6 linked regions of the Danio rerio genome follow. The protein of the gene in region 1 interacts with the protein of each later gene in a biochemical or structural test. Links are inferred from orthologs where the notes say so. Each region holds a gene or a part of one and is shown on either strand. Other genes may lie near its edges.

The links.
Region 2: the proteins of dlg1b (region 1) and htr2cl1 interact in a test that uses a peptide from one of them, tested with the Homo sapiens proteins (2 studies listed by IntAct, with this or other methods). The link is inferred for Danio rerio from reciprocal best matches to the Homo sapiens genes DLG1 and HTR2C.
Region 3: the proteins of dlg1b (region 1) and crhr1 form a complex in vitro, tested with the Homo sapiens proteins (3 studies listed by BioGRID and IntAct, with this or other methods). The link is inferred for Danio rerio from reciprocal best matches to the Homo sapiens genes DLG1 and CRHR1.
Region 4: the proteins of dlg1b (region 1) and kcna4 interact in a biophysical measurement, tested with the Homo sapiens proteins (2 studies listed by IntAct, with this or other methods). The link is inferred for Danio rerio from reciprocal best matches to the Homo sapiens genes DLG1 and KCNA4.
Region 5: the proteins of dlg1b (region 1) and tanc1a interact in a test that uses a peptide from one of them, tested with the Homo sapiens proteins (2 studies listed by IntAct, with this or other methods). The link is inferred for Danio rerio from reciprocal best matches to the Homo sapiens genes DLG1 and TANC1.
Region 6: the proteins of dlg1b (region 1) and evi5b interact in a test that uses a peptide from one of them, tested with the Homo sapiens proteins (2 studies listed by IntAct, with this or other methods). The link is inferred for Danio rerio from reciprocal best matches to the Homo sapiens genes DLG1 and EVI5.

Annotation. Positions count from the first base shown.
Region 1 is NC_133177.1:5,302,291-5,308,435, forward strand, and holds the start of dlg1b (discs large homolog 1-like protein), read right to left. Parts: upstream 3,594-6,145; coding exon 3,492-3,593; intron 1-3,491. UniProt on the Homo sapiens protein: Essential multidomain scaffolding protein required for normal development. Recruits channels, receptors and signaling molecules to discrete plasma membrane domains in polarized cells.
Region 2 is NC_133182.1:23,440,145-23,445,500, forward strand, and holds part of htr2cl1 (5-hydroxytryptamine (serotonin) receptor 2C, G protein-coupled-like 1), read left to right. Parts: intron 1-1,286; 5' UTR 1,287-1,480; coding exon 1,481-1,874; intron 1,875-5,356. UniProt on the Homo sapiens protein: G-protein coupled receptor for 5-hydroxytryptamine (serotonin).
Region 3 is NC_133178.1:20,402,876-20,408,749, reverse strand, and holds the start of crhr1 (corticotropin-releasing factor receptor 1), read right to left. Parts: upstream 4,038-5,874; 5' UTR 3,184-4,037; coding exon 3,160-3,183; intron 1-3,159.
Region 4 is NC_133182.1:32,644,858-32,650,991, forward strand, and holds the start of kcna4 (potassium voltage-gated channel subfamily A member 4), read right to left. Parts: upstream 4,113-6,134; 5' UTR 3,938-4,112; exon of another isoform or gene 3,634-3,937; intron 3,298-3,633; 5' UTR 2,825-3,297; coding exon 821-2,824; 3' UTR 1-820. UniProt on the Homo sapiens protein: Voltage-gated potassium channel that mediates transmembrane potassium transport in excitable membranes. Forms tetrameric potassium-selective channels through which potassium ions pass in accordance with their electrochemical gradient.
Region 5 is NC_133181.1:12,997,853-13,002,033, forward strand, and holds the end of tanc1a (protein TANC1), read right to left. Parts: intron 3,720-4,181; coding exon 2,543-3,719; 3' UTR 1,814-2,542; downstream 1-1,813. UniProt on the Homo sapiens protein: May be a scaffold component in the postsynaptic density.
Region 6 is NC_133181.1:31,512,801-31,517,240, forward strand, and holds the end of evi5b (ecotropic viral integration site 5 protein homolog), read right to left. Parts: intron 3,595-4,440; coding exon of another isoform or gene 3,586-3,594; exon of another isoform or gene 3,563-3,585; coding exon 3,290-3,562; 3' UTR 1,669-3,289; downstream 1-1,668. UniProt on the Homo sapiens protein: Functions as a regulator of cell cycle progression by stabilizing the FBXO5 protein and promoting cyclin-A accumulation during interphase. May play a role in cytokinesis.

The sequences.
Region 1 (6,145 bases):
CCATTCAAAAATAACAATTCAACCTACTGTTAAATTCGCACAATACCAAGCAATACACTTCTTCTGTAAGTGTTTACTGAGGAGGTTCTTGAGCTCCGTTAATGCCAGAGCCAACGCATTACTGTGACACATTCTCACAGCCCAAGCAGGCTTTACCCTGAGCTGATACAACAAAATGTGTGCATTCTCCATCAGAGAGAGTGATTACTGTGGAGCAGAGTGTTAACTACAGTCAGAGCGGAGATAATCCAATGACTGATTAAAAGAGAAAGAGCTCCAAAAGGAAAGAACAGCATTAAAACCAGCAGCCACTTCTACAGTTGTTAAGAAGTTTTCACAGAATATCTTTGGAAAGTTTTGACATGCTTTGATATAGTGAATCTGATCTAGAACTATTAAAAATAATAATTGTTTAACAATTAGGGTAAGACTTCGGAATGAAGTTGTACAACATGAACAAACAATGAACATTACAGTATTTATTTATCTGTGTTAATGTTAAAGTCAATGAATGCGACAAATGATTAACTATAGTAACTTAAAAAATGTAAAATTATAGTAACTTAAAAAATAAATTATAAAAAACTTTCAAAAATGCTGTACATGTATTGTTATCATGAGTTCATGTTTGTAAATACATGATGGTAAAGTGTGACCGTAATTAGCTTTTATGAGCTCATATTATTATGAGTTATGGTAGTGCATTGGGTACATTTGAGAGCTGTTGGTTCATGGTTGGTTCATGTTGGTTCTGACCTGGGTCATGCCCTGATCCTACTTACCTTTCTACACTTGATCAACCTAAACATCTAGACGCACGCACACGCACACGCACACGCACACACACACACACACACACACACACACAGACATAGACACAGACACACACAGAGACACACACAGACACACACAGACACACACAGACACACACAGACACACACAGACACACACAGACACACACAGACACACACAGACACACACAGTAAGTAAACGCCCAAAAGAAAGAACTTAATTAGCATATCGTCACCTTAGAATTATATAGTTCCATCTGACATTTTTGTCAAAATTGTGTTATTAACATATTCTTATTAAATGACAATGACTTATTTACATTATGGGATGTTTTTTTATAAGTTGTTTACATTTTAAGACTTTTTATTTACAAAAAAAATGTTACACACATACTGTTTGCTATGGAATGCAAAAACTTTGATGCTCAATATCTCAAAATCATTCAGAATGCAGATAGAACCTTATCTATCTGACGATATGTTCCCCAATAGCCCTTAAATTGTCTAGAGAAAGACAAGCTGTTGGTTCATGGGAACCAATTCTGGCCTGGGCCATGCCCTGATCCTACTTACCTTTCTACACTTGACCACCCTATCCATTTAGTCAAACACAAACAAGAAAAAGCCTAAAAGAAAGAACTTGATTAACACACCTTCCCCTATACCCCTTAAATTGTCTAAAGAAAGACAAGCTATTAGTTTATGGGAACCAAGTCTGGCCTGGGTCATGCCCTGATCCTACTTATACTTCTACACTTGATCATCCTATACCAGGGCTATTCAATTGGCAGCCCGTGGGCCGAACCTGGCCACCGAGGCAATTTATTCTGGCCCTCCAAATAGTGCAAATAAGACATGAAAAATAAATGTAGTTAATTCGAAAAATGACGCTATAGTTATGAAGTGACGTGCGCCAAGCAAGTGGGGCAAGCAGGATGCAATGATTAGCCGATTTCACTATTAACTGCACTTGAATTCGTCACAGTTAATTAATCGTAAAGGCTTGTCAACGCCGCATTTCTGTTGCATGGAACGAAACGAAACTGCTGCAACTAAACCAAGTTATGTCAAGTTGTCAACTGTGCACTAGTTTAAAGTTCCATGTATGTACACCGAGGCTAATACGCACTCACCGGATTAACTATAGCAGTGGCCAGTCCCATAACAAGTCTTTTCAGCTTGCAAGTTTGTTATTTTTAATGTAATAATATATGACAATATGTGCGCACAAGCGCAGCAACACACTTGCGTCTTTCTGGGTGCACACAGTAGAAAACATCTTACGGTGAGAGTTGTGCGTGCCTTTCAGTGCAATGTTAACAACATATATGTTAGACGAGTTATTATTAAAATGATTGTGCTGTATGTATGAACGCAGAAGGCAACAACGAGCCTGATCTCATGAGAAAACGTAAGTATTTTACGTTTTCCCAGTTTAGTGGCTAATTCGTACGAATTCGTACGAGTTCAGTCGTATGAAATGGTACGATCTTAAAAAGGAGGCGTGGCACCTAACCCCACCCCTAACCCCAACCGTCATTGGGGGATAAGCAAATCGTACTAAATTGTACGAATTAGAAAGGATGAATTCATACGAATTAGCCACTAAATGAAAAAGTTACGAATTGCCGTGAGATAGTGTTGCAACAACAGTTATTCTAAATAGCTACTTACCTCATATAAAGCTTGAATTTACATTAGACGTGATAACCGTGAACCCATGATTATTCTTTAGACTATATAATCGTACAACCATAATTGTGATGCAGTTTAAAAAAATAAAACATGAATGTGTCTTAAAGTAGAAAAAGCCTACTTGAGCAATGCACTGCTTTTGCTGTGCTCTGATATACAACATTTGAACATGTTTGTAAACAAGAAAAGTCTATTGTACAGTGCACTGATATTATGTAGTTTCAAAATACAACATATTCATATTTTAATGTAGAAAAAGCCAACGTGGGTGTCTTAAGGAGAAAATAAACAGCATATGGGCTCTTATATGCAGTTGTGTTATCACTCATAAAGCAAGTCATATCTCTCCGGCCCTTCATTTGGGATGCTTTTCATGAACCGGCCCCCGTGACAAACTAATTGAATAGCCCTGTCCTATACATTTAGTCAAACACAAACGAGAAAAAAACCTAAATGAAAGAACCTAATTAGCACACCGTTCCCTACACCCCTTAAATTGTCTAAAGAAAGACGAGCTATTAGTTCATGGGAGCCAAATCTGGCCTACTTATATTTCAACACTTGATCATCCTATACATTTAGACAAACACAAACAATTAAAAGCCTAAAAGAAAGAACCTAGCTGTCCTAACCTAACATAAATTGTTTAAGAAGAGACTAAAAGGCAATAAATCTGCTGTACGCCAACTCTCTTACATCTAGAAGACAACTCCTCTCATCTCATCAACTTTTCAATTATGTGTGCCTTAAAAGAAATTCAGTCCATGAACGTGTTATGCCAGATCTCTCTGCAAGAATAAGTCTACTTCTGAAGTCTGCTAGATCTCGAAGAGAACTCTTATCTCATCAAGTTGATTGCATGTGCCTCGGGAGTTCCAACTGGCAGCAGTACCAAGCATTTTGGCTGCCACTCTTGGCTACACCTTGATGTAAAGCTGGACAGACTCTCACAGACTGTCCTGTCCTGTGAATTAAGCGAACCTGAGAAGCAGCTCCACCACCCACCTTGCATCCGAACATGAGTGAGATGGTGCTGTTGGTGCAGGCCACTTTGCAGTGGCACAGCATGGGCGAGAAGCAGTCCAACTTCTTGATGCTGGGAGACATTTTCTCGCCGCTGTGGCAGCTGAGCCGATCAGCCAGCGAAGAGCCGGAGACTCGCCGGCGCGAGCGATACTTGCTCCTGCCTCTCCGGCCACCTCCTGCTCCTCCACCACCACCTCCTCCTCCTCCTGCCCCTCCACTGCTGCTGCTGCTGCCCGCTCTCACCATCCACCCTCATTCCTCGTCTCACTCCATCACGCCAGGGAAGGGACAGCCAGTCTGCTTCCTTCATCCAGCGAGTTTGTCCACACGCCCCCTTCTCCTTCACCGCTGCTCCGGTCTTCCTCAGAGCCTTTCGTCTTCTGCTTCACTGGCTTGCGAGATCCGTCCCTCCACCTTTCACAGCTGTGAGTCACGGTGGAGATGTTTGCACGGAGGCCTCATGCCGAGTGCATGCATCCGTGAAGGAACAGCTTTCGGGACCTTTTGGTCATCGCCAAGAAGACACCACACAACTGCTGCGTTCCCCCAAAAGGGAAGGTGAAGAATGCCACAGTTTGAACAACGCAGCGAGTTGTGAGGAGAACGCGGGAAGAGGAGGAGAGCTGTGAGGGGAGGGAGGGAGGGATAAAGCTGTTGCAGCGCGTGGGGTTTGTCACATGGACGTCGAGTTGGGTTGAGTCTCTCTCTCTGTCTCATCCTCGGCGTGGGTGCTCTACGTCACCCAATACATTGAGGGGAAGGCAAAAAAATAAAAAGCCAAGGCAGTAACAGTGAGATGGAGAGGAGCAGCAAATGAACATCCTCAGGGAGCACAGCCTCGCATGCAGGAGGAGGAGCGATGTTGGAGTGACTTACAGCACGTTTGCACAGTGGAGAGAAAAGGGGGAGGGGAGCGTCGAGCCTGGCCAATAAGATGACGGAATGTCATTGGCAGCTGACTGGACAGTGGATGTGACCTTCTGAGAATGGCTCCATTTCTTGATGGGATCCCTACGGTGGAGAGAGTGAGCTGGCAGAAAGATGCTTAAGCTTAATTTCTCCATTACTTCTGATTTGATTAGGCCGACCATGAAATGGTCACATAGGACAAACCGCTCGGGTCACTGGCTTTTAAGGGGCAGTGATGTTGGGGGAGGGTCGGCAATGACAAAGATCTCTGCCGTGACTTTGCTTTAGGAAATTTTTAAATCAGCAGTCAAGCTAAGAGGGATGTGGCAAAATGCTGCCATACTCGCTAATCTAATCCTCACCGCTAATAAGATCCTGTTCTCGCACAGCGTGCACATGCATCTGCTATATTCTGCCAGTGAGGCAATCCTCAAGGCCATTTAATATTAAACATTTTGGACATTTTAGTTACTTCTCTCATGCTGACCTACATAACGTGCAAAAGTCAAAGACTCTGAGCCAGTAGTACTACTAACGTCAATTACCCCTATTTTACGTACAATACTTGGGTTGTCAGTGTGCCTCACTGTCCAAAGTGTGACTCAGATCCTGCCGTTCTCGTAATGTATGCGTCACTCAGCGTGCAACACGACTAACACTGGCTAAGTCCATTCAAGGATCATCCGAATGCTCGTATGAAGCATCACGAAAACGCTCATGACACGACTGCACGGACATATAAATATAGTTGGTCTTACTTTAGAATACTATTTTTGTGGCAACAATTTCTCAATGAACGTCACAGAGTCATGAATCTGAGAAGGGAATAGAGTCAGTTTCACAAACAAGGTTTAAGGCTAGTCGAGATTAAATTGCATGTTTGAGCTGTCTCAACTCAAAATAACTTTCAGAGAGATGTCTTAAAATCTGTCAGTGTCATTTTTTTGTCTCCAGGCGCACTCCAGTAATATATTTTTCTAAGGCCATTTTAATAAATGTGGCTTAAATAGCCATGGTCCTGGCTTACTCTAAGCCCTGCTTGTGAAACTGGGCCTTAAAGTCTTAAAGGTGTATAGTTCTTCACCCATCAAATTGGCATACTCCAAATAGAGCTGGGCGATATGGCCAAAATGCAATCTCTGTAATTATTTTCCATATTAAACGATAACGATATATTTTGATATTAGTTGTTTAATGATTTCAGATTCAAAAGAGTACCCCAAAAATGACTGAAGCCAAAAAAATTAAAGTTCCATTAAATGGTATAACATGCACTGTAAAAAATAAACGTTATTTTACTGGTAATTGTCTGTATTTTTTACGGAATTTTTCAGTTTTTTCATTATACAGTGAAATACCTGGTGTTTTAAAGATATGTTCTATAAAAATTCTAACATTAAATGTACAGTTATTGCTTGTAATTTGGTATTACAATATTTTTCTGCTTTTTAAAGGAAATTTTATGTATTTTTTAGAGAGTAACACATAACTTTACGTTAACACTTACAGATTATTTCTGGAAAAAAAAATAGGAAAACAAAAATATAGTCAAACTGTTCTTAGTGAAGATAGTAAACGTATGAAGATTAACAAGAGGTTAACAAAGTAAAATAATAGCCTGTTGTTTGTAGGCTGCATATAATGCATGCACTGTAAACTGGGAGATGTTTATTTTACTACTCTAACAATGTTGTTATGCGGACTGTGACAATCACCAGTGATCT
Region 2 (5,356 bases), on another chromosome or scaffold:
TATACAAAGAACCATCTTTTGGAATGTGGAACTGGTCAAAAGTGTACAAACCCTAAAGACTGATGTACAAGCTGCAATTTTTGTTTACGTTTTGTTTAAATGTTTGTTTTTTTTTCAACAGGGAAGTCATGTGGCAATTATTTATGGTAGCATGGTTGCGGTTTGTACTTTGTTCGTTTGTTCCTTCCTTCAATCGATTGTTCATTCCTTCATCAATCTATTTGAACTTAGCCAATCAGGCTAATAAACTTGCTTAATTCATTAACTGCTTAAACTATTTACAGTGTACCTGGTTATAAGCCACTACAGTATGTAATTCAGACACACAGTTGTTGATCAGGTGAAATGAAAGCAGTGTTTATGTCCATGTTTTTTGGCTTGTAATTTCATGTAATTGCTTCAGAATTCACAATATCATAAAATCGTGTTGTATGTCATTGGGTCTGAATGATTTTCAAATAAACTTACACATGACGCACATGCCTATACGATCTTCTGACCATCAGAATTTCCCCATGTGTGCCCATCCTAAAGGTTTTAAACCTGATTTATACTTGTATTTAGCAGATTGAACTGATGATATCACATATAATTTCCAGGAAAAGCCCTTACAGAAAGCTCATTTCCTTCTTCTTTCTTTTAATTTAAGCATACATGGTTAGTAATCCCACGCACGTTACATGCCATCAGTCCACACCAACTATAACGCACAGCCTATAACCGACAGGGTGAAGACTGCAATTACCGAAGGTTATTAGCCATCGTTTGGTGACTGACTTTATGAAGTGACAATTACCCACTTGCCCATCATGAAAAAAATGACATTACATCACATTACCTCTGACATGTGGCTTGAGTTATTAATACCAGCTAATTTAATGACGAGTAGCCGCCGATCTGGTGAATTACAGCTTTCGATAAGCCAGTACAAGCCGGTTCGCAGAGATTCAGACTGTAGTGTATCATTTTAACTTTTAAACTCAATTACCCTCTATTACCACAGGAACACGGTGACACCAGTTGACCAAAAATGAATGGATCTTTCCAAACCTGATCATTTGTGCATCCTCCAATTTACAATGGAGATATTTTCCCTTTGACGGCTGAAAATTAAGTCCCCAGTGCTGTCAGTCAGATGTCAGATGTTTTGTAAATATTCCTTCTATTCTCTGTGCCATAGATTCCTATTATTATTGAATCAGAGCAGCTGTGATAGTAAGAGTATCATCTTTAAATATATTTTGGTATTCATTCCTCTTTTGTGTGTCTCTCATTGTGTTTTGCAGATACAGTTTCCATGAAGAAGATCCTGAGCCAGAAAGCAGCAACAACAAATGCTATGGATATCCTCAGCGCTGTAGATTTCTCCTTCACATAGCATTTCGAGTGGATCGCTGTATCATTTTTTAACTTACAAAACTGTTCTTCCCATAAGCGGCCATGAGCTCATATTGAAACAGGCGACAGGGAAAGACATCAGATGATGGGGGCACCTGGTGGGCCAGTTCTGGGTGGGTTTAGTTCCACCACATCCTCCTTAGACCTCGTTGGCTGGATGATCTGGCCTGGGAACACCACGGTCAGCCTGAACCAGAGCTTCTTTGGGACAGACTACAGCTTCAATCTGTCGTCCTCCTCTTCGTCTTCTCCTCATGGGGTGAAAAGGGAGGAGATGAAGGAGAAGAACTGGCCGGCCCTGCTGATTCTAGTGATTATCATTCTGACCATAGGAGGGAATATTTTGGTTATTTTGGCCGTGTCGCTGGAGAAAAAGCTGCAAAATGCAACAAACTTCTTCCTCCGCTCACTCGCAGTGGCAGACATGCTGGTTGGCATCTTGGTCATGCCAATATCTCTCATAAACATATTATATGGTAAGTTACCACATTAACTTTTTAAAAATAAATGACATGCAAAATTTGTTGTATTAGATTAAATATTTCTCAGTCAAGATAGAACCAGTGTTGGGTAAATTACTTTAAAATTACTTTAAAAAAGTAATAGATTACAAATTACTGACTACTTCTGGAAACTAACTACTTAATGTAAAAAGTAATCAGATTACTAATTACATTACTTTGAAGTTACTTTAAAAAATATATATATATATACCTATAAAAATACAAAATAAACTGCAGCTCTTATAGTATATCTTTTGCATAGATTATGATAGAGACATTTTTCTTTTTTTTCATTACTGATATGTGCAGGAACCACCTAAATTAATTATAGCAACCTAGACCACACAGAACCTAAGGGTACACTTTCAAATGGGGTTTGTTATAACACAGACAACATACACACATATTTGAATAACTTTCACCAGTGTTTTATGAAAATTCAAAGGGTTTTCTTAAAAATGATACCAAACTGTTGCATTAACACCTCTGCATGTGGATTTGGGAAACTTTTTTATTTGGGTAGGCAAAATCCAGGGAGGAACCTGGAAAAACTGGATAAATCTAACCACTGACATTCATAGTATGCAAAAGCACTGCAGTGTCTGTGTTTGTCTGAAGTAATTAGTCTACTGAAATGTGTAAATTCCATACAAAGCATGAAGCTGATTGGTCAGTTCTTCTCGCGTGACTCTTGGTTTTCAACTGATGCGTCTTGAAAATGCGAGCGCACGTACTATGTGCTCTGAATATGAATGCAAGATGCGCGCCTCCATTAGAATTAATGAAATTGTGGTGCGTTTTTGGATGCCATCAGGATTCACAACTTTGGTTTGATGCATTGTGGGTACCGTTTAAATAGGTTGGTCTATAGCCTAATGTGAAGTGACTTCTAAGTGTCTAATGAGATGCAAACTTTCAAATAATGCAGCACATCGCCTATAAAATGTAGCATCACCAGAAGTCACACTTTCCATAATATAACTTTAGTGGCATTTCCCTTTAAGACCCAGGGGCTTTTTCCACTGGTGTGAGGGTTTCTCCTCTAAATAACATGGCTCATTATAGAAATGACACCATAGAATATATGCCGGTTAAATAACACATTTAATTGGTCTCTTTCCTCCAAAACTCAAGAGATGATGACTTCTATTTAAAAAAAAAAAGATGAAGAAGAAAGTTAAGGGGTTTAGGTTGATTTAGTCGTTACATGAATGTAATTATGTATAGCACAGAGCAATGACAAAGTTAGAAAAGCCAAGAACCAGAGGTGGTGAGATTTAATAGCTTTATAGCAGGGTATAACATGAAACCTCTTTTCCCAGAACAAGACAAAGCAAAGCAAGCAAGAGAGAGTGAGGAGGTGGAGATATTTGGACAATCTCAAAAAGTTTTAGACTGCTATTAACAAACATATTTATTGTCATCCACTCATGATCAAATTAATTTTTCCACTTCCTAAAATTGTGAATCCCCAGATCTGGTTTTACAATTCTAAGAACCCTAAGCAAGAATATTCACCCTTGTGTATTACTTAGCCTACATGCAGCAACAAGCAGAGGACACTACTGTTTGATGAATACTGCTGAAAAAAAAAGGTTTAACATAATGCAGTTTTGAGGCTTTTTTAGCATTAGGCTGTCATTGAACAGACCAAAGACAGTTGATGTTGTCCATCCACAAGATGGTGACAGAGACCACATAATAAGCGCTTAGAAGATAAAACAGCATAATTTCTAACTACAGCTGATCAAATCATTATAAATCAGGTAAGTAATATTCTAAGTCTATCTCTCTCTTTTCTATGATGTACTGCTGTATTTATACAATGTAATTGTAGTGTATTGAGTGTGGGATGGGACTTGCTTATGAAGAATGTATGTATTTTATGCAGGCCCCTCTTTGTATAACCCTGAGTAACTTTTTCAGGTTATTGTGATATCCTGATTTCAACAGAGAAATACTGAGAAATCTCTATAGACTGATGGCATTTCATTCTTATAATCTTAAAATCGCCTATCTTGTCATCACTTTAGACAGTACGCCAGTGAATCATTAAAATACTAGCTCTAAAGTGGTGTGTGTGAAATAGCAAGAGCTTTTGCTGTTCTGGCATCAGCTGTAGATGTGAGGGAATGGCGGAGGTAATTCCTCATACCTAAGGATTTTTAAACTCTCCGTATTTGGTTTTTCTTTTTTTATATACATGATTATGCCATTAAACTGTTGTAAACACAATATCACATGAGTAGCAGTGCAAAATGGCTGTATATCAGCACCGGTGCCAACGCAAACCTCCCACCAGTGCCAATATACAGCCACATCGCACTGCTATTTCTGTCATATTTCTCATGTGTATATATACATACACACACAGGCATGCATATATTTGAGAAGTTGTTTATTTATATTTAGATATAAATTATATGTGTGTAAGAGACAAAAATTATTGACAATGTTAAAAAACAAAAACATATGTTTAAAAAACCTTATTTTGGATGCAGTTAATCTTTGGTAAACATTATTAACATAATATAATATAATATAATATAATATAATATAATATAATATAATATAATATAATATAATATAATATAATATAATATAATATAATATAATATAATGAAATGTAATGTAATGTAATGTAATGTAATATAATAAAATATAATATAATATAATATAATATAATATAATATAATATAATATAATATAATATAGTAACATATAATTGATACAAGAGGTAACATTGAAACCTCACCAGGTCATATTGCCACATATTGAAGACAAGCTGAATTGCTCATACACAGATCCGAACATTATTCTTTTTTAAATTATTTTGCAATCACACACTTTTTGAGTAGATCTATTTTAAATAACTGATTATTTTGCTACCATCAAAAGAGAAGCCATCTTGAATATGATTCATGTGTGTTAATGATTAATGTGTGGATATACTGTACTGCCTTTGCCATTTATTGTCACATGACCATCACTTCTCTGCCATTCACAAATTCTCTCCTGTGGCCTCATGGGATAGTACAGTGTCCATCGTCATTATATAGTGGCCTTAGTCATTATATCATCTTTGAGTCTTTGAGAGAAAGAAGACGGAGAGAGAGCGAGAGAGAGGCCATTGGGGGCACATTGAAAGAGACAGCAGCTTGTCTTGCATTGTGTTGCTCAGAAAACCACAGAAATATGGCCTGTGGCAGAATTGAGATGGTGCAGCCTCTGTGAGCTGCTCAGCTGTCTGCTGTGGAGTATTTCTGGCTCTCGATATCCGTACAGGGACCACACTGTCCATCTCTCCTAAGCCATGGGGAGCTCTGTTTAACCCACATGTCTTTTTTAGATATTTTTATATACAGTGCTCAGCATAAATGTGCACACCCCTCACTGATCTCTCTTTTGAATTTATATGTTTTATAGGATGCTTTAAAGTAATGTATTTAGATTAG
Region 3 (5,874 bases), on another chromosome or scaffold:
TGTTTTACACTTGATTATTCTAAATTCTAAATCTGAATACTGTTAGACTCCCCCAGAAAACCATAAAATTTATTTAATCATTGCTCTATTGTGTGTATATATTTTGTAATTTATTTGTTGTATTTAAAGCAAGATTTCCTGCCCTACAGAAGCATCCCAATCAGTCTAAATTAATGAATTATTTCCCAATAGAGATATTAAAGTCATTCGGTGAAACTGTACTCATATCGCAATATATATTGCAAAGCAACAAAATCTTGCAATGTTGGATTTTTCCAATATCGTGCATAGACATGGGACGAAAACCGTTTTCAAGGTATAAAGTGATTAGGAAAAGTTTGAGGTTTTAAAACCACCAAAATTGTCTGCTATACCATTCAATTAATGTGTAAGACTTTTTATTCAGCATTTCTTTTTTTTGTTTGTTTTTTTTAGGACAACAGTATTTCCAGCAGAAAATATATCTAAATATGCCATTTTAAATTGTAAAGAAATCTGTGTTTTGAAACTAATGAAAAGAGCAGTCAATGATTTATTTTTTATTATTCAGTCTGCCATGTTTACTGCTACAAAATATTTCAAATGTTTCTCAAAGTAAAATATATATTGTGTTTAAAAATATATTGTGTTTTTTACCAAGACATTTAAAAAGAATATATTTTAGAGCAGTAATCACAATAATGTGAAATCGTTATGTTTTTATCCAAGGTTATCATACCGTCAGAATCTTATACCAGGCCATGCCTAATCGTGCAGCCCTACTACTGAAAATAAGCTGTTATCACCCCAAAAAATAAGCTCACTGATATGTCACTAATTTTAATTCCTAAATATTTGCTGTGTCATGATTACATAACCTCAAATTATACACAGTAAAAAATGGTGGGTTGCACACAATTAATTTGTGTTGGGACAACATAAAGATATTTAGTTAACATATCAGTTTTTACCAATTTAAGTGGATTGAACAAAAACCAATTAAGTTTTCCCCAAACACACTCAAGAAATCAGTTGTTTTATTTTAAATAAATTATGTGAACAAACAGCGTACTTTATTTTTTTGAGTGTACTTTATTTCCTGAACAATCCCTGCTTGATATCTTTTATGGCATGTGTAATGTCAGACGACGATGTAACTTTTTGAACAATCACTAGTTACTGCGTTTAATTACATGTGTGATGTCATTGAGAAGGAGGGACAAGCAATTGTTTTCCTGAAACTAGAGCATAAGCACACAATGTCTCCATTGGAAAGCCACCAGAAATAAAAGAAAGTGAACAACAGTAAGTGCGCATATAACTTCATCAGTCTTTCATTTTGTCATCTTGAAGAACTGAAGAATTTCTCCTTTTGGTCATTGTCACATATAAGACAAAACCCTGTCTTTATTAATTAAAATAATTAAATAAAAAAATGTTAATAAAATCAAAGGATGCAGGCACAGCGCTGATTATCATCCACTGGGAAATTACTGTATATAAGATTAAATTATGAAAAATTACCATTGTTGTTTATAAAGCACCACAACACCCAGATGGATTGTGGCAAAATTTAATTGATGTTGTCTAAACCAGGAATGAATCATTCTTTCAGTTTAAGGAGTAAAAAGCAGATATCGCTTTACTTAAATACCCAGCCAGATCACAGCAAGCTCACCAATGTGCTGATGCAACGCAAAGATGAATATAAGTCAATTAGTGCTTGTATGAATTCCTAATTGCTTTTCTGCACCTCTGCCAGCCACGTGGGACGTTTCACAACTCTGGAAAAGCTGCAAAGCAAAAATCACATTACCGTGTCTTTACTCAGTCAGTATTTCTAAACTTTCATAAAATCAATCATCACTCAAATGGTTTTTCGGAGGAAAACACTCTCTGCTCCAGCTGTCCACAGTGCTGAAAGTGATAAAATGCACATTAATGGTAGCGGAAAGCTTGTATGTTTTGACTGTCAGAGTTTCAGCGCATTACTTCATAATGGTGCCAGACTGGGCCACGGTCCAGAGCAGAGACTGATAAACTCGCTGCATCCTATTTGAGGCTAAAAATAACAGCTCTGTTCCTCTTTACCTTTAAGTGATGTCATTTCGCATTATTTCGAATCTATGATATGCTTGTGATGCTGTGCCAAGCTTCTATTATAAGCTGAAATTGACATTCTTTAAAGAATGTCTTGCAGCTCAGCTGAGGACTGGCAGGGGATTGTGTCCTGTCCCTGCTTGTATTTACTGTCTACAGAATTCAATAGCACACCCACACACTGCTGAGTCACATTGGCAATGATCTCCCTCGTGGAAGGATTGTCATTAATTACCTCCACAGCTTCCCTTAAAATCTCAGTGTCAGGCAATAGTTTAATGACACCCATTAAGTGCTACTCTGCGATAAAAAAAAAAAAAAGTGAAAGAAAAAGCACAGTAAAACTAGAACAAAAACAGCTTTTTAATATACTGTCACTTTCAATAGAAGAAATTAATTAAATTCCAAACACATTTGGAAATGTTTTAACGACAAAAAAGTTTTTGAATATCTGGTTCAACTTCCAGGAACAAAATGCTTTGCAGTCACTTATGATATTCACAGCTGCATATATTATTTAGACTGTAAGTATACCAATATACTTAAAGCATTAAATCTTTTTGTTTACAAGATGCTAGCACCAAACCCAGGTGTTGGGTGATACAATGGAAAAGTAACACGATGTGCTGAATAAAAACTAACCTCTATTCTATAGTAACTGTCAACAACAAAGTGACAGAGCACAGGGTTACTCACACAATACAAAACACACTATTAAAGAATATTGCTACAAATACTAAAGACACAACAAAAACCGGAACGCACAACTATTAACAATTTAACTTTTTAAATGAGACCAAAACACACTGGCACTTTGCACTTAAGGTTCTAGGAACTCTACTTAACAATAAACATGATTTTAATAATAATGATGTACATGTTTATGTTCTTCTCCCATAATTTCAATAGTTTTACAACACAATGCGGTCTTCTACCATTTTTACACCATAGCTAGTTAACTAATAAGCATATTAAAGTTAACCAATTAAATGTTCTTGAGTTTTAGTTCTTGTAGCTTTTATAACAAACAACATGTTTCCAGTAAAGCTAAAACACGCTTTGATGGGATAATAGTCGTACCTGTGGATGGAGGATGCGACTCATTGCTCCAGTGTGTTTTTCTGCAGAAACCTTCAAACAGCAGAGCGCTCTCGTGCTCCAGATGCAGCTGTCCGGATGCTCTGCTCCGGGGTGACAGACCTCTGCTCGAAAAACAATAGATTTGCACCCCGAGGATGATCAGTGCAGCATTTACAACTGGAAATCAGCAGGGCGAATTATGCGCGCATTTGAATCGCTGCCTCATTTTCACCCACTTCCAGAGGAGTTATTATTAATATAAGCGACATATCCTTGTGTTTCGGGGTATTCGGTGGACACTTAATCCTCAATAAACAATCTTCTGTCGAGTTTGACTACTTAAGGTCCTGGGAGGCAGGTGTAAAGCGCTTCAATCACGACACCAATCACGCCCGACACCCAGTCAGTGTTTCCAGATATGATAAGCGTCTCGACCTGCTCCCCTGCGGCTGGAACTGAACTTTTCCAAAAGTACTACCACAATTTTAATCTCGTTTACAAAATTATCCGTTCCTTGTTAACACGGCGGATCCTCTTCACGTTGCGTCCTCGCACTGACTGACCCTCTGTTTGAGTCCCATCGGTCAACGGTAAAGCGTTCACACGAAGCCCTACATGACAGCGAGGAGGCGTCACTGCGCGCGGATAAAAGGAACAGACGCTGAGATTTTGCGCGCGTGCGGGTAAAATGTAGTCCGAGAGAAAATGTGACAACTGTAAGAAGTCTAGCTGACGCGCGAGCGGAGTTCGCCGGTGCAAACTAATCCGTGCCGTTCCCACGCGGGCTGCGCGTCTTTAACCAAACCGGCGGTTCACTGTTTAGCGCGCGCGCTCCGCAGCGGCATGAGACTCAACACCGAGCAGCCTTCATAATGAGTGAATTCCATTCGAAAGTGAGCATCACTACACCCTGTTCAGTCTGAAAGGGGGAGCACTCGAAGAGAGTAGACTCTGAAGGGAACAGGGCGCATTTGAAACACATGGATATGTGTCTACGTCACTGGCACTTATTTTCATCCTAAAGTTATGATGTGAAATCAACATTTTGATGCCGTAATGTTTGCGTAAAAGATTTGTCCTTAAGGTAATTTGCAATGGTGTACGCTGATTTTTTTTCTTTTTTTTTTACAGATTTAAAAGTTTTGTTTTGTAACTATTTGGGTTGCATGAGATTAAAAAAGTGTTTGAATAAAGAAAATGCCATGAAGTAAGTTTGAATTAGCACATTGATTACAGTCAATGCATTATAGATGCACTGATTGAGTTGCATAACCCCTCATTCACTGTGTCTTAAGCGAATGGGTTGTCATGCAGAGATAAAACATAATATCAAATCTTTAATATGAAGTTTCATCTGAAGGTTTTCTAAAATGTTTGAATGAGAGGTGACAGGATATGCCAATTTGTCTCAATAATAGGTGCCTCCAGTATGAAAGAGAGCCATTATCTACAGTGGTGGGGTTTTGTCTCATTTATGGACAGTGCATTCAACATGAACATTCACACTTTTGTATGGCTTTGGAGAATGCGATCTGTTTGTCAGTATGCAAAGCAAAAGTATGTTATTTAGCATAAGTGTAATTTAGAAAAAAATTGTCATCCCATTTCCCCAGGGCGAAAAGTGCTTATTTTGGCTTTATACTTTATGCAACGCTAGGGAATCATATAATCCTTTAGCTCTTTTTATCTCTCGATCCATCCAGCTCTCCGTCTAATGATCCTTCTAGTGCAAAGAAATTCTGGACAGTTTTGTCTAAACAATATAGCATCAATTAGGTTTGTTACATACTTTTTTTTTCACTAAAACATATATGTATACACACACACACACTACATCTTAAACTCATGGTGAACTTTAGTTTTCAGTATTGTTGTTACCACTCTTATGTAAAGCTGACAGCACAGCAAATCCTCCACATGTATTTCCAGACACTGTCCCCTTTTTAGATTTAAATTTGTTTTCAGGGTCAGGAATCGCAGCAAGTCCAAGACAGAGGTGTCGAAAAGAACAACTGGCTATATTCAATCATTCTCCATATCGCATTAATGCAGGTCTGCATTCTAGTTGCTTTATAAAGACACAGGAAATGATTCAAAATGCACGACCCTCCACAAGCTGTCTGAGGTCAGCCTGATGATTCAACGTGTGTTTCATTATTAAAATTGTTTACCGTGTTAAAATGAACTGCAGCTCGTACAAATATCTGTATTGCAAGATTGATTTTTTTTAAAACTTAGAGTTAGAGTTTAACCAAATGTTGTGTATGATATTATTTCTTTTGTGGAACACCAAAGAAGATATTTTAAAGAATGTTTGAATTCTTTTTCTTTTTTTGTTTTTTTTTGTTTTTGTTACAACAGTGGACTTTCACTAAACAGTTTTGTTCAGATAAAATAAATAAAAGCACTCAGCAACGCACAACAAGTAAATAGTGAAAATTTAACACTGGATTAAATATTTTTTTAAAAAGTAATATCTTCCAATAAACAGACGATACTTTAGAATATAAAAGTAATGAACACCAAAATTTATAAGTGTTTTATTGCATATAATTATCTATTGTATCTGCCACCTGCGTACAGTAAATCTCATGTCATGCTGTCAGAAATCCATATATATTTTTTCTCTTACACACTTTCCAGGAGAGCCATTCAAGACAAAACCATTCATTATGACAGCACCTGCAGTGCCATACGTCTCATTTTACTTTATGG
Region 4 (6,134 bases), on another chromosome or scaffold:
ATGATTGGTTTGTTTTCAATACTCACAAAAGGGACCGACTATAATGACTCTTTAGTCACTTTGGACGATGCACAAATAACTACACAGGGTGTGCTAAAAGGGTTTTTTACCAGAGTGTAGTACATACTGAATACTGCCATGCGGACACATGTTTGCCACAATGGGATTTTTAAGATAACATAGCCTTAAGTTATGCAACATGCTGCTCTCCAATTAATTCTAATAGTGAAACAAATTCCTTCCTGTTAGCTGAATTGGTCGTGGACAGCGTATGTTTGCTATTGTTTGGAATTAATTATAAATGCAATTTAAAACATGATTGCTATGGGGTCGTTTCTCTCTCTAGCTCAGTGTTTCTTTCCTCTGCATTAAAGTGGGAGACTAGAACATAATTGATGATAGTGCAAACGATTTAAACGTTATTGCATAATAGCATTAGATAAGAACTCGCCTCTTTTTCCTACAATTACTGACAAATGTAACTCATAAAGTGCCTATGCAAGTTCCTTCATTTAATGAACCGGGAGTCGTTCGGTTCTGTCAACTGAACTGAACAGGCGGGCAGATAGAGACACCTCTCCACGTCACGTAAAGCTGGTGATTTTTGCGTTGCCTGTCATGTGATTACAGGGTATGTTTCTCTACAAAAGTAGCCAGCCACATTGCAAAAAAGTTTCAGCTCAGGTCCAGAACTTAATGTGTGTGAGACAGTGTGTCTGCGCACGCGCGTACTGTGTGTGTCTTCAAGTTGTGCATGTGTGTGCTGTTAACTGATTCATTTGTGCAGTCATCATGATGAAAGGTCATCGTTCTTCCATAATCATACATCTGTCTGTAGGGTTCGTGAATGTGAACTGTTTTTCCCGCCTAAGTCAGTACCGTTCCCTCTGCTCGGGCTCTGCGTGTCACCCCCGCACAGAGATTCCGTCACGCCCTCCTCCATCTCCATGTACTCCGCAGCCTTGTCACCTAAAGATGAGCCCGATGGGGACCCCTTGAATTTTCTCAGGAAATCCGGAAAGTAGGGGCAACCCGGTGGGGGTTGTTCCACGGCGGGCGCCTGGTCCTCGTTATCAGTCTCCCGGTGGTAGAAGTAGTTGAAGTTAGACACGATGACGGGGACTGGAAGCGCAATGGTCAGGACGCCGGCGATGGCGCACAGCGAGCCCACGATTTTGCCCCCGACCGTGATGGGCTTCATGTCACCGTAGCCCACCGTGGTCATGGTCACCACAGCCCACCAAAACGCATCTGGGATGCTGGTGAACTGTGACGTGGGCTCGTCCGCCTCTGCGAAGTACACCGCGCTGGAGAACAGGATGACGCCGATGACGAGGAAGAAGATGAGCAGCGCCAGCTCTCGCATGCTCGCGCGTAAAGTGTGCCCGAGGATCTGGAGACCTTTGGAGTGCCGAGACAGTTTGAAGATCCTGAACACCCGGACGAGTCGTATTATTCTCAGGATGGCGAAACTCATAGCCTGTTGCCCGTTGCCTTGCTGCTGTGCGAGATCTGTGCCCAGGGTTATGAAATAAGGCAAAATAGAGACGATGTCTATGGTGTTCATAACGTTTTTAAAGAAATCAGCTTTACTGGGGCTGGCGAAGAAGCGCACGATGATCTCAAACGAGAACCAGATGATGCACACTGTCTCCACGATGAAAAAGGGGTCGTTGAATGGCGTAAATCCATTGTCTGCCTGCGTGGAGTTTTTACCTGGGATGAGGAATTCTTTGTCGTCCCTGAATTCTGGCAATGTTTCTAAACAAAAAATGACTATGGATATGACGATGACCAGCACTGACACGACCGCGATCCCTCTGGCTGGACTTGAACTCTCCGGGTACTCGAAGAGCAGCCAGATCTGACGCTTGAACTCGTCCTCGGGCAGCGGCTTCTCCTCCTCCTTCACAAAGCCCTCATCCTCGCGGAACTTGAGCATTGCCTCATCCCCGAGTTCATAGAACTTGACCTCCTCGGAAAAGATGTCAAACGGCACATTGACGGGTCTCTTTAAGCGCCCCCCTGACTGATAGAAGTACAGAATGGCGTCGAAGCTCGGTCGGTTTCTGTCAAAGAAGTATTCGTTACGCAAAGGGTCGAAGTACCTGCTTCTTTTCTCGGGGTCTCCCAGGAGAGTGTCCGGGAACTGCGCGAGAGTCTTCAGCTGAGTTTCAAACTTTAAGCCCGACACGTTGATGACAACTCTCTCGCAGCAGCCGTACTCATTGTAAACGTTTTCATACCCTGACTGAGGACGTCTGTCCGTTAACGACACCGTCTCCTCCTCATCATCCATGTTATAGACAAAACTGGACCTCTTGCTTTTCCTGTCCTCCTCTTCCTCCTCGCCCTCCGCCTCCTCCTCCTCCTCGATCATAATGTCCTCCTCGGATCCTAGGAGCGCCAACTCTGATTGGCGTAGATCCCCGCCGAGAGCCGCGCGGTTCCGTCTCCAGCGCGCGACGCCTCTTTGCTTTTTTCGCTCTCTGAGAAGTTGCTGTGGTGGCTCGTGGTGTTGCTGCTGCTGCTGCTGTTGCGGCTGTTGTGAGGAGGAGGAGGAGGAGGGGCGCGAGGCGGTCCCGGCGCTACTGTTGTTGGCATTTGTCGAAGAGGCGGCGCGACTCTGATGCGGGTGGTTGTGGGGATGGCCAGTGGACCCACCTCCCTCTCCGACCGCTCCAGCTTCAGCTGCTGCCGCGGCCGCTGCGCGAGAATGCCTCTCCCTCTCGCGCTCTCTCTCCCGGGCGCGAGCCTGGGCATATCCATAGGGCAGGTGGGTGTTGCAGCCCCCACTGTCCGCGCCCACCATAGCAAACTCCATCTTCTTAAACTACGAGGCGTTCAGAGTGATGGAGAACGAGGCTGAGCGATAGACGGGCTCGGCAAGTTCATAAATGCGCTTGACTGGCAGTGTAGGTCCGCTGCCTTCGAAAGTGCTTTCAGCTCTTTCAGTGCACTTTTACTTGTTGTAATCGGACTTTACAACTGTAACGAAGCTACGTGCTTCTGGTGACATCATCATCATCATCGTAATCATGAGTAAAATGTGTCCAACAGTTCTACAATCCATGCGCGTGGCGCGCGCGGCTGCCTTATCCAACAGAAAGCTGGATGCATGAGGAGAGCGCGGCTCCTTTCCGTTATCCGAGGTGTTCGCTCACCGACTTTATTCGTCTATGAAATCACTGGTTCCCATCTTGGCTGCGAGGGAGGGGTGGGCTGTAGGTTTGTTCCGTCCTCTGCCCCTTCAGCGGCTATGAATGAATCACTGGATCCGCTTGACACCAGCAACAGCTGTAAAGACAAGAAAAACGTGTTGTAGAATGCAAAGTGCTCAGCATAATTTAGCTCAGGCACACTGTGATGGACACAAACACGAGCAGAACATTTTGAAAAAAGTAACCAGGGACCTAACTCAATATCTTTGTGCTGCCTGCATAAGAATACAAATATTAACAATGACAATAACGGGGCGCATCCTTATTGATACAGGCCAGCCAGGCAGGAAAACAGGAAACAGCGCGTGATATTACTGATCCAAAAGCCCCTGACAATTAATAATAATCAGTCATCGCACGCAATTTAACATCCTTCTCATGCACTCCACCTTCCATCATTCGAGCCACTTACGTAGGGAATGATACGAGGAGGTCTTCTCCGCTTCCACCCTCAATGCAACAAGATAGAGACGGCTGAGGATGTAAATCCCAGGTTTGTCCAAATTTCCCTCTTGCACTGGGAATCCAGATATCCATCGACGTAGCCAAACGCAGAACATGACACCTCAACAGTCAGGTGAGATCGCATTCGAGGGATGACAGTTTTGGCCGCGGCTCGCCGTTGGCTCTTTATTCAACAGGATCTCTCATCACCTGCCCATCTCCCCCTCCCCAAAAAACATGCACCGCTGCATTAAGCCTGGACTCACACTCACCAAAGATCAGGTGCTGCTGCCGAGAGCATGCTGCGTGGCTCGATATATCACACGAGCGGCGTCAGAATCGAGATGTATCAAAGTTTTCGGATGCCATGTGAAATAGCCTTAGGTGGGTATGCGCAGCGCGCATCTGTCTGCCGCTCAGTCTCGCCCGTTGACCATTGTGCTCGTGTTATTGGGGAGCTGCGCTCCGCCGCGAGAGGCACGTTTGCGCAGCGCGGAAAGTCCTAGATCGCCCCCCAGTGGCGACAGCAGGCTTACCGGTGTGCTGCAGATCTCAAACTTCGACAGCCCCTTATGCATCTGTTGACATCCAGTTCATCGCAACAGCCTACCCGAGGGACTGCTGCATAGCGCGAGCTGCACACACTATGCAGCCTGTGTGTGGCTCTGTCAAAAAGACACAGACACTTTCTATCACGGCCAGTTTGTGTATAGCCATTCTTTGGAAAAATGTAAACACGACATTAAAATGACAAACGTGATTGTGTCGTGAGAGCTCTGCACTTTACTCAACGATCTATTAAACAAGCAAGCGTTTACACAAAGAGCATAAATATTCACCTCTCTTAGCACAGTCATAATAGGGATTTCAAGAGAGTCCAGGGACTCCGAATGGGCAAAATGGAGTTGGTGGGATTTTGATGTTCAGTCAAGTTAAAATACCGACTCAATATGTTTACATTTTGTTTATTATTATTATATTTTTTTGTGCATTTATCATAGTTTGAAATGATGACTGTTCTTTCTAATCATGAGAGATAACATTAGATTAATCACAATTTTGGTAAAATAGGCTAAAACCTACATTAAATCTGCATCTTTTATACTAAACTAAAACTATCTATTTATTTATTATGGGTTATACATCTAGCATCTCTTGACTGAGATGATGAAATATGCTGCTAACTTACTGGAAAGTGAATTTCCATCAAAATATTTCAACACGTTGATCAAAATATAATCGCTGTGGGATGTGTGAACATTAAACTGTTTGAAAGCAGCTGGTTTTGCACTCAGTCATGAAGACTGGTGGAGCTGTAAAAAACAAACCAAAAAAAACATGGCCATTAAGATGATTTAAACTGCATTTTAAACTCAAAATTGGCTTTCAAAAGTGCTTAATGCTTTGAGCTCATATTCTGTTGGTATGAAAGCAAAATGCAAATGATTACTCCCACTACGCCACCTGCCTGTTTTTCCCGGCACTCGATTTTTTAACAGAAGGCTTTAGAAATCCAGTTTCATCAGCAGCACTGAATGCTTTATAGTTATCACCTGAAAAACACATCTTTTACCTTGCACAGAATTGCTCAACAAAGCCAAGGGTCTAGCTGACTCTCCAGCGAATGTGTGTGTATGTGCTGTCAGAATGATTGTGCTGTTTAATTCAGCTCATTAGTAATGCAGGAGACATTGTGTTTGCTCTTGTTTAAACAGTTTGCATTGACCAACCTTTACTACCCTGGCAACCGTGCACTGACATCCCACTGTTTAATTATTCAAATAGCCCACCTCCATAAGGAAATGCAGCTTGTTTTGGCCTTAGCTTTTGTTTTTGTCTATGCTTGTCTTTTCTGTATGCAGTTGGCACTAAAGAGAATAAAAGGGGGCAGTATTTCACAAGATAGCACTGCATTATTGGTGGGCAAGCACACAGGATGGCTGCTCTTTATGTGTAGAGAGTAAAGATTGTGATTGTAGTGCGAAGGTTGTGGGTGTGGGATTGGATAATGGCTTATAGTTATTAGGATAATGGTGCCGACTGCACTGTAGGCCAGAAATGAGGCCTTGAATGACGGTGGCACCAAGTGCATCAAGACTGGAGGAAATGTGAGAATTACTGGGCAAACAGAATCAGGCAGTCTCTTTTTTGGATGCAGCGGTAAGAGTGTAAAGGCAGATTTATTCGTCATTAAAAAAACCTTATTCGGATGGGCTCTTGTCGCAGCATGATAAATGAAGGTCAGTGGGTCATTTTGGACAATTTCCAAGATTTGTACAAATCAGGAGTCAATGACTGTACAACCTTCAAAAGCAGTGGAAAGAGACTGGGGGCGAACATGTCTGAAATAAGAGCTTTCTTTTGTCAAGGTTGCGCTGCAGCTGGAAAGAGAGGAGACAGACAAAGATCTATAAAAGATAATGAACAAAATCCAAATGAAAATCTAGAACTCTTTATAAACTTTTAAAC
Region 5 (4,181 bases), on another chromosome or scaffold:
CGATGACATCACTTCATGGGTGTTTTACTTTCACCAGTGGTGGAGCTGAGGACCCTTTGATTCTCAACAGATTTGCCATAGATGTTTCATACAGTGTACAGAAGCAGAGGTGTACCATCCTTCTTTTTTTAGTCCTTGTTTGCCAGTAATAAGCCAATCTCTTTTGGAGGTCAGAGTAGGAACTAAAAAGGGGTTTGGGGGGATTGCATGTCAAAACAAGATGCACAGGGGTTCCTTTTAAATCTGAGAAAAAGTTCACTCTGATCTGTATTTTAAATGATGTTAAAAATTTAAATAATAGACATCCTCTTGACCCCCCCCATAACAGTTCATTTTTGTGAATGAATAATCGCGCCATTCAGTCTATGCGAGAAAAAATGCCATTCATAAGAGTTCACATTAGACTGATTTCTCATAAAATAGATGTTTGTTTCTATATAAAGCCTAAAAGTATTCAAATTAGATGCAAATTTTGTATAGTTTGACCTAAAGAATACCGAAAATAGCTAATCTGGTCAGAATACACTAAGTAGCCTATCCCACAAAACACTGAAAACCTAAATTCATTCATTCATGTTCTTGTCGGCTTAGTCCTTTTATTTATCTGGGGTCGCTACAGTGGAACGAACCATCAACTTATCCAGCATATGTTTTATGCAGTGAATGCCCTTCCAGCTGCAACCCATCACTGGAAAACATCCATACAAACTCCTTCACACACAGACTTTAGCTTACCCAATTCACTTATAACTTATGTATTTGGAATGTGGGGGAAACCGGAGCACATGGAGGAAACCCACGTGACCACGAGGAGAACATACAAACTCTACACAGAAATGCTAACTGACCCAGCCGAGGCTCGAACCAGCGACCTTCTTGCTTTGAGGCGATCGTGCTACCCACTGCGCCACCATGACGGCCTAAAAAAAACTAAATATATTTAATTAATAAATTAGTATTATTAGATAATTAGACTTTATAAATTAGATTTATTAACAAAATTGTTGATCGTCAATGTATAATAGGGTATATGCAGAGCTAGTGTTTCTTCCCATGCTGATAAACTCCCGGTGAACAGTTAATGTGAACTTTTTTCCATTTTATGCAGTCCCTTGATGTTCTAATGTAAATTAAATTTGTTCAGTTAAATAGACTTTGTCATTCATTTAGTTGTTGAAGCGTAAAACAAGACAAAAAGCCATTTACTCGCACGCGCCCGTAAGAATCAGCAGTCTAGCGCAAAAGCTCCATTGAATATACTGAGGTAAAATAGTCATATTTTTAAGACATCTCTGTAACCCTCTGTAGTGGCTTATGTCATCTCAAGAGATGTTGCAAAATAGAGTTTATAAATAAGCACTCAGTGGTTAGCACTGTTGCCTCACAGGAAGAAGGTTGCTGGTTCTAGTCCGGCTGGGTCAATTGGCATTTCTGAGTTGAGTGCTCCAGTTTCCCCCACAGTCCAAAGACATGCGCTATAGGTAAATTGAATGAACTAAATTGACCGTAGTGTATGTGTGTGAATAAGTGTGTATGGATGTTTCCCAGTACTGTGTTGCAGCAGGAAGAGCATCCGCTGTGTAAAACATATGCTGGATAAGTTGGCGGTTCATTCCACTGTAGCAACCCCTGATGAATAAAGGGACTAAGCCGAAGGAAAAGGAATGATTTAATGGACACCATATGGATCACATTAAAAAAACCTGACAGTTTACTTCCTAATGTAAAAAACTACTTAATAAACATTTAAGAATGGGTAATAATCTCTTTGGATAAAAATAAGGCACTAGAGAAATGTAATAAAACAGTAACCTAAGTCTTAAACTGGGGTTTATTGTATATGATGCTGAAATATTCAAATACAATACATAACAGCCCTATACATAAAATAAATTGCAAATAATGAAATAACATCCATGTCCTTATAGACACCTGAATATGGTTCACCATAACATGCATGTAAACCTGGTCTCCTTTATACAGTTCATGTCGTCCTCACAATCATAGTGGTATTTCATAATATATAGCTGTGCAAAAATAACTAATATATAAAATATAATATTGTTTTAATCAGACAACCAAGCCATAAATAAATTAATCCAAACAGTGAGTAGTTTAGGAAGAAATACAACACGCTTCTCCTTGAAACACACACATACATACATACACTCACACACTCATCACCATTCAAACAGCATATGCTTTCTGAATACACAGGACTGGCCCACAATCATACTGTAAGAGACAGTGTTTCATTTTGGTAGATGTCCTATGTCCTTATTGAAGTCTAAAGCCAGGTCAGGTATCTTAATACATTAATAAACCACCTCTATCATATTTCCACTCTCCTATAATGTGCAGATGCAGCGTTGCGCATTGAAAATGTGCTTAAATACCTCTGAAGCTGTAAACAGAAATGCAAGGCAATCTTATGTTCACCTACCTGGAACAAATCCTTTCAGTTTAGTTCAACTGAGCCCCCTTACATTTATGTCGTAAGATTGTATATAATTTGTGCTTAAGGTAAAGAATGAGTTGGTAGCTACACGTTGGACTCAATAAAGGAGCGTTTGGGCTTGATGGAGCTGATCAGGATGGGGTTGTCCCGGGCCAAGCTGGCCTGCTTGTGCTTGGTGTCATTGTAGTGCTGCTGGAGAGGGTTCGTGTCCTTATATCCCGCTCCAGAATGAAATTCAGTTGTAAGTGTGCTATTGTGGATGGGCTCCTGATAAGCACTCGATTTAGAGTATTGAAGGTCACTAGTCAGTCCCTGCGAGTGCGTATTCACTACAACACCTACATTGTGGCCTACGAGTCCTTCTGGCCACCCGTAACTGGACACCAGGCTGCCGTGATGACTTTGCTGCTGCTGCTGTTGGAAACGGGCAGTTTTGTCAATGACCCCCATGAAGGGCCGTGGTTTATGCTCAGATTGCCTATCTGGAGCGCTTGCCATGGAATTGCGTAATCGGCTGGTATCTGTGAGATTCCCGCTGGAGGAGCTGGAGACTCTTACACTGCTGCTCCTGCAAAACTCTCTTGGCTCGATGTTGATTTCTGCCTTCTCTGCGAGACTGAACTGAATGCCGCCCTCTCTGGCATCACCGAGTGGACTTCTGTCAAGGCCACCAATGTCAATGCAGGGCCCTGCTCTGAGTGAGGTTGGTCGGTGCCGGCTTGGCATCGGGCTGGAGCCGGCGCTCTGTGGCGTCCTGCCTTCAGCATGTAGTGAACTGCTGTACTCTCGGTTCTTCATGCTTTGAGCTTGTCTGGACGGGAGGCGCCTGTGTGCGACCCGTCCAGGGGCAGCAGTGGAGATGGCAGACTGGGCATCTGATAACGCCAGGCAGAGAGAATCAGGTAATGTGCGGCTTTGATGCCAGCTCTCCTTCCTCTTGTCCTGCCGAGAGGATTCTTGCTCACGCCGCTCCTCCTCATCATCTGCCTGCAACATGTTTATGCTGAGACTGTCTGGGCTTTTCTCCAAACTCTCAATGTCTTGGTCGTCATCTTCAACCTCATCATCATCTTCCTCGTCGTCGTTCTCATTGTCGTCCTCGTGGTGTGAGGGGTTGCCATGAGAGGTCGGGTGTTTAGAGCCCTGCCGCTGCAGGTGTTGGCACTCCTCCTCCACTCGTGCCAGCAGACGTCTGATCTCTCGGTTACTGGGACACAGACGAGCCGCTTCATAGAGATCAGCCAGTGCGGCTGCAAACTGCCTGAGAAAGAGAAAAGCAGAGGAACGGATGAATATTTCATCTTTATTATTACATCGCACTCTGGAACATTTCTAGGAATATTATTCCCACACAACAACCATTGAAACCAGTAACACATGCTCATCTGGGTACTTCAAATCATCTTGATCTATATTTATATGCTTCTCCAAGCCACTGTTCTTGGTTGTTTGGTGCCGTCTTGCAACTGAATAGAAAGTGGGTTAGTGTAGGCTGGATTTAACAGTTTTTCTTCTTATCAGCTGTACATTTAACTAAAGTGTTAGTCAGGAAGAATAGTCTCTACAGCATGTCCTGGGCCTCCCCCACCTCCCCAGGTACAGTAGGTGGCCAGGAGGTATCAATTGTTGATGCCAGAGTCACCTCATCTGGCTTCTCTTAATGAGGAGGAGCAGTGACTTATGGTGGAGGAGTTTGAGTGCCTAAATATTTTTAGGGCTCATG
Region 6 (4,440 bases), on another chromosome or scaffold:
AGTTTCGTGGCTTCTTACTGAACAGAGCCGCCTTGTTCCGAGGACGCTGGTGATCTGTCGTGGACACAACAGGGACACGCATTCAGCTCGTGCGCCAGACAATCAGTGGAAGCCCGTAGAGCCACGCAGTCCATCAGTCTAGCCTCACCTGTCTTTGACTCGTGACAGCCACTCAGCCAGTCTCAAATTAATCGCTTCACTTCACTCACATCGAGCGCATTAGCGTCTAGCTATCATTGAGAAAGAAAAAGCAAAAAAAAAAAAAGGCTATAAGTTTATGAGTTACCGCTTCAAGTTTTCAATTCTTTTTTTACGGGTGTAGATGTTTGATTTATTTGTAGTTGTAGTTTGTATAGCTTTATAAAAATTAGCACGATACAGAATATCTGATAAACTGATGCATGCAATCGCAAAGTGCAGGATCCATCAGTAGGCTACTGGCCAAAAGAGAAGCGCAGGAAATCAAAGCGCAATGTGCCCCCTTCGATTAGACACCACATCAGGGCATCCGGCAGATACAGTAGGACAGAGATAATGAAGGGCACTAGGAAAAAATCTTTACTGATTTTACAACATTATCTCACATTTACTTTGAGACTGATTACTAGACATATGCAGTTACAGCATATTAACCCTTCCGCAACGAGATAGACATGTATAATGCATTGCAGAATATTTACTTAAAAGCTGAAAGCGAAATGAGTAGCCTAATTTCAATAACAAAATTAAAACGTCGTTTCCACAGAAGAATGTTGTGTATCATTATAGACAGGGTAACTCTCAGAACAATATAAGCAAATGTGAATAAAAACAACAATACCAATTCCGACCGTCTTACTGCTTCCTTTTTTCTGTAGCTGTGTTTTCTGTGGTTTTATTCCACTACATGGGATTAGAATAATTACATAGGCTTTGAAACAATTAATTGGCTATAGGCTACCTTTTCCAAACATGTTATAGCCATCCCAAGATATTAATGCCGCAATGTTCTTCTCAAATTTTCGTAAATATATATAGTTGACAAATTATTAAATGGCATCAAAGAAAAAAACAAGAGTTGCAAAAAAAAAACATTTACAAATTGCACTGGCACAATGGAAAGATAAATGATATAATGAGGTTATATGTCTAAGTACATGAAACGTCATGCTCAACTGGAGACAAGCGAACTGTGATTGTGCTTAGCGAAACTCAGATTTTAGAATTACGGTTTACACCAAATGACTTTAAATTTAACGAGGGCTCATAAGCCGACTGAAATTACGGTACTCACCAGAAAACAATACGAGTTAAGATGATTTTAGTGCAGTCGCGGTGTTTCGGTTGAATTCAAAGAGCGCAGAGCCCATAACATCTCATTTCATCTTGTGCTAGTCTGAGCGCGAGAATAGGCGCGCGCACACATAAAAAAAAACTTCCTGAAAATGCTACTTGTCAATAGCAATCTGATGTTAGAAGGGCTTTTCCTTAAGAAGCTTTTTATTACAGTTTTGTAAAATTGCGTTAGTCAAAATGTAAAAAATAAATAATGATGATGATTGAAATAATAAAATAACTAGCTCAAAGATTAGTGCGCGTTTTAATTAATTACTATTAATTAATTGATTACAGTTACTATCAAGTGAATGATACATTTTTAATGTAAAAAAAAAAAAGCAAAAAGATGAATTCAGTTTTGATCAATCAGTTTTATTTAGCTGTTGCGTGGAACAAACGTACAAAACATGACAGTCGTTGGCCACTATCAAATGATATTTTATTGTGTTCTGAATCAACATGTCCATCGTCTTAAAGACACTTTTATTGTATTGTCAACTGTCTGTAAAGCCTCAAATGCCCACAGGAACATTCCACAGGAATTCACTGTAAAACACTCGATCTTTCTAAAGTAAATAAATAACGCTTTAATCACTTAGTGTTTTGTCTTTTGCAATTCCTTTCGCAAAAGTCTTTGTTTTGTAGGTGGACAGGCCGTTTTTAAACGATGGGCAAACAGTGCACCAAATTTGCATCCACCATGATAGGTTTAAGGCTTACACTCAGGTGTCTAAATAGCAGTATGAAATGAAATCACTTCATACTTTGAGAACCACTGGCTCACAAAAACTAACCAAAAAAGAACAAAAAAAAATGGAGGGTGAAGCTAAATTAAATATATCGCTGTAAACAGCGAAACATAATATTGTTCATTATTGTGAAGCCATATGCATGTCATCTGTGCAAAGTGCAAACTGATTCAGAAGCAAGCTGGTACAAATAAAGATGTAAAAAGAAAAACGGACCAGAAAAGGCCAGAGAAATGAGAACACTGTTCTGATGAACACACCTCTCTGCCTCCACTTCCATCAGTTTGGAGATATTCTTGATATATAACATGCACAGCATACCACATATTGTAGAAAATATTGAAAATCAGCAAGAATTTTGTAGAATCTTTCCAGGCACAAAAACAAATCTCCAGTCTGTGAAATGGAGAACTTGACTACAGCAAAGCTACAGTACATTAAAGAAAAGTTGTTTCCTCCAAATCCTCCCAAATTCAGTAATACATCCCTTTCAACTTAACTATACAATGTGTTACAATATAGACATGATATCCATTGATTACACATGTTCAAGTAATAATGGAGATGGGCAAATAATCTAAACATATACATATTTACATAGACGCTGGTTCAATGACTCACAATTCATGACCAATAACAATTCATGCCAGAAAAAAAGGCCTGCTAACGTAAGATATGACACCGTGCTATTAATGAAACAATTTAAAGATGATAGTGTTGCTTTCTTTAATATGTTTCCCTAAAAGTTATGCGCTCTCTGGTCTCTCAATGTGTGTATGAAAAAAAAAAAAAAAAAAAGATGATTTAAAAAATAAAATCTATAACGATGCAAAATCTTAATGCTTAAAACACTATAGGCTATACCAAGTTGCTTCTCTTCATATGAAAAAAAACCTTGGAGTATTAAAAACACCCCCTTTTAAAGTTCTGGGAATATCCTGCCACAAAAATGATGACTTCTGCTTAATTGGAAGGATCTCAAAGTGCCTTAACAGACAGACACATTTGCCCTCTTTATCGCGGCTAAAATTAAAAACTACTGCCAGGACAGACATCTGATGTATTTTGGCAAAAACAAAACAAATGCAGATGTAAACCATGACCTTAAGAGATACGATTCCATTAGTAAAGATGAACGATGGCTTTTCAAGTTCAAGTCCCATGTTCACATTGAAAGGACGAGCTCATGGACAAGCTCTCCCTCCGTTCAGGCCTTCACAGTTTCACACTGTTGTTGTCTTATGGCTGACATTTGAGGGCACGGTAAGTCGTAGGGCATCTCCTTCCTCATCACCCTCACTTTCGGAGTCCTCCAGGTTTGGATGTAGTGTGATCCGGCCTCTATCCTGATGAGTGGTCAGGTGGGGTGACAGCTTCACTCCATCTTCATCAGAGGACTGGTAGGATTCATTGTCTCCACCATAGTGATTGACTATATGAATCCCATCAAAAGTGTGTTGGTTTGGTAAGCCCTGATGCCCTCGCAAACATCGGATCTACGAGCAGAGCAAAGAGAACGTCAGCGCAACTGAAACTTTAACACCTCAGACATTTTGCTTGACAACATGCAAATAAAAACCAGGAAACTAGGAAAGGTGAGAATTGCAAAACACGCACACAACCGTAAAGGTAAACAAGCACACAGAGTGGGATGATGGGGCCAGAATGTCAAATAAGACAGACAACAAAATCTCACAACAAGTTTTCAACGTTTAAAATTCTGGCAAATTAGGGGCTAATTGAAAGGATCTGATTTGTATGTTTGCATGTGATCAGGATAGTTCACCCCAAATTGTCTTTTTTTCACTCAATTAAACCACTTGATTAATACTGATCATCTGTTTTTTTCTGTGATTATATTTTTAAAGATGGAATAGAAAAATATTTTCGATTTAACTAAACATTTATACATTTGGAATAGCACAAGAGTAAGTAGATTGTGATACAATTTTCATTTGTAGTTGAACTAACCCTTTAAGTTCCGTTTATATTTAGGGGTTGGACATTCATGCGTTCATTTTTTTCTTTCTTTTTTAATGAATTTCAGTATAAATTCATTCAAAATAGTCTTCTTTTATAATAGCAGTTGTCCTTTGACTGTGATGACAGGAAGTAAATTAAGTATTGTTATCTTTGAGTTAGCTATTCCTTTAAAAACAAGTAACGAAACAGAAGAGAGTTCAAAGAAACCATCTGTCATACAGTGGATATGGAAAGTAATAAAGGCGCTTCACCTTTTCCACATTTTTGGATTAAATTAATTTATTTCCTCAGAACTCTACACACAATATCCCATAATGACAATGTGAAAATAAGTATTCACAGCCTTTGCCGTGAAGCTCTAAATTAAGCTTGGGTACATTCTGTTTCCACT